3 linked regions of the Saccharomyces cerevisiae S288C genome follow. The gene in region 1 interacts genetically with each later gene. Each region holds a gene or a part of one and is shown in the gene's direction. Other genes may lie near its edges.

Region 1 (3,122 bases):
TACATCCATTGGTATTTTGGCAATGCCATCCATTTACCATTATCGACGAAGGTGAGAAGTGTGTTTTAGTGATCAAACCTAAAAGTGGTCTCACTAGATTCATTTATAACCATATTTTGCAATCTTTAAATGGTAAATTACAACTCCGAGTGGCCATTGAGGGACCTTATGGGCCCAGTAATCTTCACCTCGATAAATTCGACCATTTGCTGTTACTAAGTGGAGGAACAGGCTTGCCTGGTCCATTAGATCATGCCATTAAGCTGTCACGAAACCCTGATAAACCCAAGAGTATAGATTTGATCATGGCGATCAAAAATCCTTCTTTTCTTAACGGCTATAAATCCGAGATACTAGAGCTAAAAAATAGCCGATCCCACGTCAACGTGCAGGTTTACCTTACACAGAAAACAGCTGTTACAAAGGCAGCAAACGCACGAGACCAATTAATACATTTTGATGATATAATGACCGAACTGACAAGCTTCGCCCACATCGGCAATGCAAGACCTAATTTTAGCAATGTAATTGAAAACGCAATAAAAAGTACGCCGCCTGGAGATTCATTAGCGGTCGTGTGCTGCGGCCCTCCTGTTCTGGTGGACGATGTTAGAAACACCGTTTCTCAAAAACTCCTCGGTTACCCAGAGAGAATTATAGAGTATTTCGAGGAATATCAGTGTTGGTAAATCTTCTCTCCGGCTCCTTCTGATCCTACGCCCACCTATATCTACATATATCTACGGCACTAAAAACTTTTATGTACCGCATAAAAGGTGCTCTTTAGCAACTATTTTTAGTTAATTATTTGCGTTTTAGCTTTCAGGAATTTGCTTGCTAAGACGATGTCTAATAAATCCGGTACTTCTTTACTTGCAATTAATTACTAAGCGGCGCCTGAATTTTTCCGGCTTGATGCCGAGCAAAAATTAACTCTAAATCCCTTTCTGGGAACGAGTCTTTGAAGTTCTACGGTCTTTTGTCTCAGGAAAATATGTCCCGAGAAAGATGGAATAAGTATGGATTTTGTCCTTAACCAGTGGAGGTGGCGCTGCAGTCCTTCTTTTCAGACCCAAGCAAACAGACCAAAGGACATTTTTTTGGAAAATGTTAAGAATCAACCCTCCGAAATCTTTTCACGGCTCAAATTACTGCGGCCTTTTTCTGCTTCTTAAAAATGGGAGCATGATTATTTAATTAGCATTGCATCTGCGTGCACCGTAACTACTACAGTACTTTTACTGCCGCTGAGACGACAGCACGATCTGTTTTAACGTCGTAGGTGTATTTTTTTTTTTCCCGCTAAAAGAGCACCGCCATAATAATGACTTACCTCCTCCAATCCTTCTAGATGTTTTTCTTTAAACTCCTACAGTGAATTAGATTATTGCAAGTGCAAATTAAAAAAAAACCTAAAAAAAAAAAAGAAGGAAATAGTTTTTGTCCATACCGGACTATGGCTTTCATTAACGAATTAGAGCGCCGCTGTTATCCTTTTATTAACTTTTTATCGTGAATCATATCTGCCCCTCTCTCGGTTGATAGTATAAATATGTTGGTTTTAGTAGCTTATTAGTGTGCGCATGTCTTTTTTCTTGTTCCTGGCTATTACAATTCCTGAAAATATTCAAAAGCGACACTAGCCTACCTTAGTTATACTATGTCTAACGAATCTAACGACCTTGAAAAAAACATTTCGCACTTGGACCCGACCGGTGTTGACAATGCTTATATTCCACCTGAACAGCCGGAAACGAAGCATTCGCGTTTTAATATTGACAGAGATACCTTAAGAAACCACTTTATCGCTGCTGTGGGTGAGTTTTGCGGTACCTTCATGTTTTTATGGTGTGCTTACGTCATTTGTAATGTCGCTAACCATGATGTGGCTTTGACAACCGAGCCTGAGGGCTCTCATCCAGGTCAATTGATCATGATTGCCCTTGGTTTCGGTTTCTCTGTGATGTTTTCTATCTGGTGTTTCTGGTGGGGCTTTGAACCCAGCCGTTTCTCTCTCTTTGTGTTTGGCCAGAGCCATCTCACCAGCCAGATGTGTAGTGATGTGGTTTCCTCAGATCATTGCTGGGATGGCTGCTGGTGGTGCCGCTAGTGCTATGACTCCAGGCAAGGTTCTCTTTACTAATGCTTTGGGTTTAGGCTGTTCCAGATCTAGGGGGTTGTTTTTGGAAATGTTTGGTACTGCTGTGTTGTGTTTAACAGTTTTGATGACTGCTGTTGAAAAACGTGAAACTAACTTTATGGCTGCGCTTCCAATTGGTATTTCTTTATTCATGGCTCACATGGCTTTGACCGGTTACACTGGTACCGGTGTCAACCCTGCAAGATCTCTGGGTGCCGCCGTTGCTGCCAGATATTTCCCTCATTACCACTGGATCTACTGGATTAGCCCACTTTTGGGTGCCTTCTTAGCCTGGTCAGTGTGGCAATTATTACAAATCCTTGATTACACTACATACGTTAATGCCGAAAAGGCGGCAGGTCAAAAGAAGGAAGACTGAGAGTAGTCTGCTCAGAATTTTATCTTTTTTGGCATAACGCTCCCATCGTAGTTTAATTTAATTTAATTTAATTTAATATAATAATATCTTATTTTTCATATTTACTGTCCTTTATTTTTTTTTTGTTTTTATCTCTTCTGGTCAGAGTTCTGTTTTTACGTAAGCGGCAGAAGTATGCATTCTTCACATTTTTTCCTCCTAAAGGCAACATTGAGGCCAAACTTTGGAAACAAAGATGATGTGAAGTAATTATTTACCCATCAGAAATCTATGACAAGATAAGTGTACTGCACTGGATATGAGCATTGCATCTCAGAAAAAGGTTAAGCCATCGTTTGTTTGCTTGCGGTGTAAGCAAAGGAAAATCAAATGTGATAAACTTTGGCCTACTTGCTCCAAATGCAAGGCCTCATCCTCGATTTGTAGCTACGAAGTGGAACCAGGACGGATTAACAAATCTCCCACTATCGAAAATGCCCCACATAGAGACATTAGAAACATTACTCCTGCATCGATGTCCGCAAGTGGTTCCTTTACTTCCATACTTAATCCAAGTACTAAAGACTGGGAAATGAAAAATTTTGCCATGAATTTATCGAATGC
Region 2 (2,969 bases), 790 kb from region 1:
AAAAAGGACTCTGCGTTTATTGAAGACGATGTGTTTTATGCTATTTCAGCTCTAGCTGCTTCTTTGGGTAAAGGATTTGAGAAATACCTGGAAACATTTTCTCCCTATTTATTAAAGGCTTTAAATCAAGTAGATTCGCCAGTTTCAATCACCGCAGTGGGCTTCATCGCTGATATTTCAAATTCGTTAGAAGAAGATTTCAGAAGATATTCCGATGCTATGATGAATGTCTTGGCTCAAATGATCTCTAATCCAAATGCAAGGAGAGAGTTGAAACCAGCCGTCTTGAGCGTGTTCGGTGATATTGCTTCCAATATAGGTGCTGATTTTATTCCCTACTTGAATGACATCATGGCGTTGTGTGTTGCTGCCCAAAACACGAAGCCGGAAAACGGCACATTAGAAGCCCTTGATTATCAAATAAAAGTACTAGAAGCAGTACTAGATGCTTATGTGGGTATAGTAGCGGGTCTTCATGATAAACCTGAAGCTCTGTTCCCTTATGTTGGTACTATATTCCAGTTCATTGCACAAGTTGCAGAAGATCCTCAGCTGTACAGTGAGGATGCTACCTCAAGAGCAGCAGTCGGATTGATTGGTGATATAGCAGCGATGTTTCCAGACGGCTCAATCAAACAATTTTATGGACAAGACTGGGTTATTGATTACATTAAAAGAACTAGGAGTGGCCAATTGTTCAGTCAAGCCACAAAAGATACAGCAAGATGGGCTAGAGAGCAACAGAAGCGTCAATTATCCTTATAATTACGATAGAACTTACAAGCTGATTTTGGTTCTTTTCCATCTTTGTTTCTTAACATCTGCTGCAGTTACCAACGCATTTACAAACCACGGTTTACAAAGGGCATTTCTCTTTGATCATAATTAATTTGTTATTTTACCTTTATGATTTTGTTACCTTCTCCGTCATAGGAGAGAAAACAAAATACCTGCATTCTTCTAATTCCAGTCGCACTTTTTAGAATTTCCCTCTTTTTATTAAAGTACATCTTAATTTTTTTTTTTCTTTCTTCCTTTTCTACTATCTTCTCTTTTATTATTATATTATATTATCAATAACCCTCATCTCTCTCTCTCTCTCTCTCTCTCTCTCTCTCTCTCTCTCTCTCTCTCTCTCTCTCTCTCTCTCCTTTTTTTCTTCTTTTAGATTTTTTTGCTTTTGTTTAATTTCATTCCAGTTTCCCCCCCCCAATATTAATATTCGTTCCTAGAGCCTATCACACCTAATATTTCCCGTATACATTATAGTAAATACCTCAAGACACTTATGATAGATTTTTTTCCTTAACTCAAACCTAATTAGCTCTATGCATAAAGAAAGTTTTGAATAAGGAAATCCGCATATTCAAATTATCAAACATGCACTTCATCTGCAAAACTTCCAAAAACTTTCTGCTCGTTAATAGTCAATGTATGGTAATGCGAATGAGCAGGTACCCCTTATTATAATGATTAATACTTACATCATAGTTAATAATCTTATCTCAGGGTACCCATAATTTCAACCATCCTTAGCTTCCATTAAAAACACAATGAGTTGCGTTACTAGCGAAGCGGCTTATCTGTTAATTCTTGCTTGCAAACATCTTAGCTGAAAGTGAAAAGGCACAGCCGCACCTGCTGAATGCTCAACGTTTGTAATAATCCGCCTATTTCCGCGGAATCAATAGGGCTCCTAGCAGGCCGCCATCAATTTTCAGCGTGCCGCATTAAAATTATATTACCAAGATTTCCATTTCCGCGGCTGATTCCTATCAATATTAAGTAATCAATCTTTTCCTCGTGATTCTTTGTGATGCTCATTCACAGAGGACTAATTAAGACATGTAGCACAATATATTCATATAAAAGTTGGTGCAGTTAATGATTAATTGCATTGTTTTCCTTGTTTCTTTCTGTTATACCTGTCGAATTAAACATAAAGTGTATATGAATTTTAAGGGGCACAAATAACAAAGGATTATTTATCACCTTTAATAATGCAATCGATCAGTAATTGTCCCATCGGGTTAGTTTCAAAAAACACAATCAATTCAGCTTCCACTATTGCAGAGTGGGTAGCATGTCCATGGAAATATATCAACGTTGTTGGTTCAGGCAGATATGTGAGCAATAAACCTGATAAAATTACCAGATATGATTTACTCAAGGCTGCCCAGGAAGCGGAAATGCAGGAGTTGCTTACAAGAAATGATATGAAAGGTAGACATAAACGTAATAAGAAAAGTAAGATAGCATTGGAGACTATAGCGGAAGAAAACTCTTCAACTGAAAGCCTTTTTTAAAGTTTGTGTCACAATCATGTTAAGCTATCGTCCCCTCATATCATTTTAGCCTCCAGGTAAAACCTAAATATTGTATAAAAGAGAATGGTAGGCGAGCATATTATAGAAAAATATCTCTAAATAATTTACAATTTAATATTCGTTGCTAATGGTAATTTTTTTTCAATTGTTCTTAATCCTTTCTTAAACATAAAAATAACTATTTTGAATATAGATAATACACATCAACGATGCAACTCCAGTATATTAGCTAGTTAAAGGAATGTTCAGTAACTCTACAGTATTACAGAAAGGGCTGAATGAAATTTCAACTAATTTGTCTCTTGTGAAATTTAGATTTGGTAACTCTACGCAGGTGCAAGCCATTAAATAGCCATATAATACTCTTAATGTTGACTCATGTGCAATGATGAGAATGTCCTTGCTCGTATGCTCCATTTCTAATAGTAAAGGTTCCATACGAACGGCTAAGTCATGGTAAGATTCCGCCCTAGGGAATCGAAAATGATATGGGTCTTTTAATGATTCTTTATATTCTGATGGAAATTTGTCCATTATCTGTTGATCAGTAAGATCAGCAATACTTCCTGGGTTCAACTGTCTCAACTCTGACCGTTGCTGAACTTTAATACCTTCTTTTGAAAAAAAGAGTGCAGTATCGTG
Region 3 (3,763 bases), on another chromosome or scaffold:
GATGACATTATTGCCACTGGTGGTTCTGCTGCTGCAGCCGGCGAATTAGTTGAACAACTCGAAGCCAACCTTTTGGAATATAACTTTGTTATGGAGTTGGATTTCTTGAAAGGCAGGAGTAAGTTGAATGCTCCAGTGTTCACTTTACTGAACGCTCAAAAGGAAGCGTTGAAAAAATGATATGTTTCACGTCCTGACCCATATTCAAGCTTCCTTTCTGCCGGTTTCAAGCAATTTATTTTTCTTACTTCTCCTTACTCTCTCAATTTGGTTGTATAATATTTACTTTTTAGATTGAAAAATATTCAATCCACTTTTCTGCTTTGTGCCACAAAGTAGTCTATTTAGTTTTTTATCTATTATATGCTTTTAAAGAGTTTGGAAATCGAGACCTGCATATGCAATAGTAATATTCAAGGGTCCTTTGATTCTGACTCTAAGCGAGCATTTGCCTCCTGAACTTCTCTTAATGACGTTCCAGGAACAACACTCCAGTCTATCATTTTCTCTCCGCGGGTATTGTATAGCCAATCGTTTATCATTTTGAAATGGTTGGTACCAAAAAATCCTCTACTTGCACTTAATGGAGACGGATGCACTGACTTCATCACCATGATATTAGGGTACTTACTACCGCTTCCAACGGAAGTAGATCCCAACAGAGACTCTACTAATTTGATAGCATTGTTCCCCCATAAGAGGAATACTAAACTCTTACCGTCGGCCTCTCTGTCCTGGATCAACAACTGAACTACCCTTTTTGTAAAAGTTTCCCAACCATGCTTAGAATGCGAGTTTGCATTATGTGCTCTTACAGTTAACGAGGTATTAAGCAATAAAACCCCTTGTGAAGCCCAGTGAGTTAAATCTCCCACTTTATTATCTTCAACAAAATCAGGATACTCTTGCTTCAGTTCCTTATATATGTTCTTTAATGACGGTGGTGCTGGTGTAGGGGGTTTGACGCTAAAAGCCAAGCCATGCGCCTGATTAAAGTTGTGGTAGGGATCTTGACCGATAATCACGACTTTAACTTTATTAAAAGGCGTTAGCCTGGTCCATGAGTAAATATCCTTTGCAGGCGGAAATACTGTATGATCAGCTTGCTCTTTAGTGACAAACTGTTTCAACTTTACAAAATATGGCTTTTTAAATTCATCCATTAAATGTGGAAACCACGAATCATCAATCGTTTCTAGCTCCAGCGACAGTAGTGTACGTAAATTGCTGCTCAAGTTCTTCGAATATACATCTTTTGCATTTGAATTAGCAGGATATTTGTCCGTGTTTGCCTCCTTTGCGACCGCCTTTGTCTCTGTCTTGATAGCTGCGCCATTTGTTATGGTCATGAAAGTAGCGCCCGATTTACCTTTCTTATTGGGCGCCTCATTAGTGCTTTTCTTTGTACCAAAGAAGTCTTCGATCGTAGTTTGCTTTCTCTTTCGAGCCACCGTCATAACTGAATTTGTTGGCAATCTTCTCATGCACCACATGTATGTGAACGGCTTGTGTACAGCTTCTGATAATATATATCATTATGGATGAATTACGCGTTGCGGACACATTCCAGGTTTTGACAATAGGGAAAATATTGAGTTTATATGTAAAGCTTTTTACAAGTCACTAATGTGAACAACGTGAGGTAATTCCATGGAAAGTTCATATAAGAATAGTTCGAAAACTATCTTTTTTATTCCCACCAGTCACTAGATTCGGCTTTATACATATAGTGGGCTTATCACTGCTCTTGGATAGCACTTTTGCACTACAAATAGACACCATTACGAAGAATTGGAAGAGACTTATATACAGAGTACCAGTAGGTAGAATGGTCACGACTCCATTGCATTCCTCGCCGAAAAGCAGTCTGAAATCTTCAACGACCTCACTGCGCTCAGTACATACTCAGTCTGGTCGTATGGGGCCTAGTGAGCCTAAGCACAGAACAACCAAATCCTGGTCTATATGGGGAGGTAATGACGAGGAAGAACCGGAGTTATCTAATAAAAATAAAGGAAAGGAAACCGCCCAAGACAACAGTCAAGAAAATGACAATGTTTCAAATGAGGGAACACGCTTGCACGATAATCAACAAACAACGATTTTAAAGGAAACCACCAGGATCGAGAAGGGTGAGAAGGACAAAAAAGACAGAAATGCAGCTATAGTAGAAAAAAACACAAGACCACGAGCATGGCCATTCTTTTGGGGCCGTAACAAAAAAGATCCGGAGCCGACGCATAACATTCCCACTGATGCGGATAATAACACTTTATCACGTTTAGCAAATAGTCTAAATCCGGCTCCTCTAACCAACACTTACATACCTTATAAACCTGATGCTATATTGATCAGAGATAAAGGTGTCAAAACTGCTAAGAAATTAACAGATGACATAGGCAATCAGTTTCCTAACATTGTTGTACCAAGTTTCGATATTTTACCGAAACAAACCATATGGAATACAGTCACATCCACAATTTGGAAGTGGAAGACTGAATACTGGGATAGAAGACCTTCATCAAGGGTACGAGAGGGGGAAGAACAGGTGCAGCACTCACAAAATCAGTTAAAAGAGGAAACAAACACAGTTGCAAACGAGGCAAAAGATGAGGAGCGGTTGGAACACAACAGAGGATCTCTATTTAGGGTTGATCCATGGAAAAAAATAAACCTTCTATCAGATTACCAATCTAGGCCCATCAGAGTTCTCATTGTCGGCGTTCATGGGTTCTTTCCAACAAAAATTATTAGACCGTTTATTGGTGAGCCAACGGGTACATCTACCAAGTTTGTCACAGAAGCTGAGGAAATAGTGAAGGAATATTTTGATCAACATAAAGTACCCATTGAAATAAGCAAGATCGCTCTTGAAAGAGAAGGAGAGATATTTGATAGAGTAGATTTCTTCTACGAAGTTATGAAGCATTGGAGCAAAGAAATAAACAATTCTGATTTTATTTATTTTGTTAGCCATTCGCAGGGGTGTCCGGTAACCATTATGCTTTTAGCGAAGCTGATCAAAAACGGCATAATAAACCTTGATAATTCTCAATTTTTCAACGATGAAATTCAGTTTTGTTCGTCCAAAAAAATTATCTCGGTCTTGGCCATGGCAGGTATCAATAATGGTCCATTCTACGGTGCAGATCAAACTTTGTTTGTTCGTGCTTACCAGACGATTGAAAAAGACTCATTGAGGGAGTTATTCGAGTTTCAAAAGTTTGATTCCAAACAATCGCAAAGCTTCATAGAAGGCCTAAGAACAATCATATCAAATAACGTTAAGATTACATTTGTGGGATCCATCAATGATCAACTGGTCCCTCTGTATTCATCCACATGTCTTTTTGCCAACCATCCCAATATATTTCGGGCCATTTTTATTGATAGAGGATCACAAACTCCAGCATTTATCACTCGCATAGTTAAAATTGCTGGTTCACTCTTAAACCTGGGTTATAACGATCACGGAATCATAAAGGAAATAAGCGGATCTCTGGCGGGCACCCTGACAGGAGGTGGTCACTCTACCATTTATAATGAGAAACAGGTCTACCATCTGGGCATCAAATTTGCATTAGAAACAACCGATTTGTCCGAAATGTATCCAATTGAGTACTCACCATATAAATTGTCTGAGTTAGGAGCCAACCCCTATCGTCTGCCATGGTGTATGAGGGGATTGATGTACGAGTCCAACAAGCATTTCAGTAATGAAGAAATCAAGATGTTGTTTAAGGAATTTGAGGAATGGGAGCCT

The links.
Region 2: mutations in YLL053C (region 1) and CIS1 together harm fitness more than expected from each alone (negative genetic interaction), as found in Saccharomyces cerevisiae (one large-scale study listed by BioGRID).
Region 3: mutations in YLL053C (region 1) and YML020W together harm fitness more than expected from each alone (negative genetic interaction), as found in Saccharomyces cerevisiae (one large-scale study listed by BioGRID).

What each region holds. Positions count from the first base shown.
Region 1 is NC_001144.5:34,900-38,021, reverse strand, and holds YLL053C (uncharacterized protein), read left to right. Parts: upstream 1-2,060; coding exon 2,061-2,519; downstream 2,520-3,122. Other genes in the region: FRE6 (putative ferric-chelate reductase), read left to right, coding at 1-689; AQY2 (Aqy2p), read left to right, coding at 1,661-2,110; YLL054C (uncharacterized protein), read left to right, coding at 2,818-3,122.
Region 2 is NC_001144.5:821,624-824,592, reverse strand, and holds CIS1 (Cis1p), read left to right. Parts: upstream 1-2,000; coding exon 2,001-2,306; downstream 2,307-2,969. Other genes in the region: KAP95 (karyopherin beta), read left to right, coding at 1-765; YLR345W (bifunctional fructose-2,6-bisphosphate 2-phosphatase/6-phosphofructo-2-kinase), read right to left, coding at 2,553-2,969. UniProt on the Saccharomyces cerevisiae protein: Mitochondrial protein that is involved in citrinin resistance.
Region 3 is NC_001145.3:229,321-233,083, forward strand, and holds the start of YML020W (uncharacterized protein), read left to right. Parts: upstream 1-1,828; coding exon 1,829-3,763. Other genes in the region: adenine phosphoribosyltransferase APT1, read left to right, coding at 1-180; UNG1 (uracil-DNA glycosylase), read right to left, coding at 414-1,493.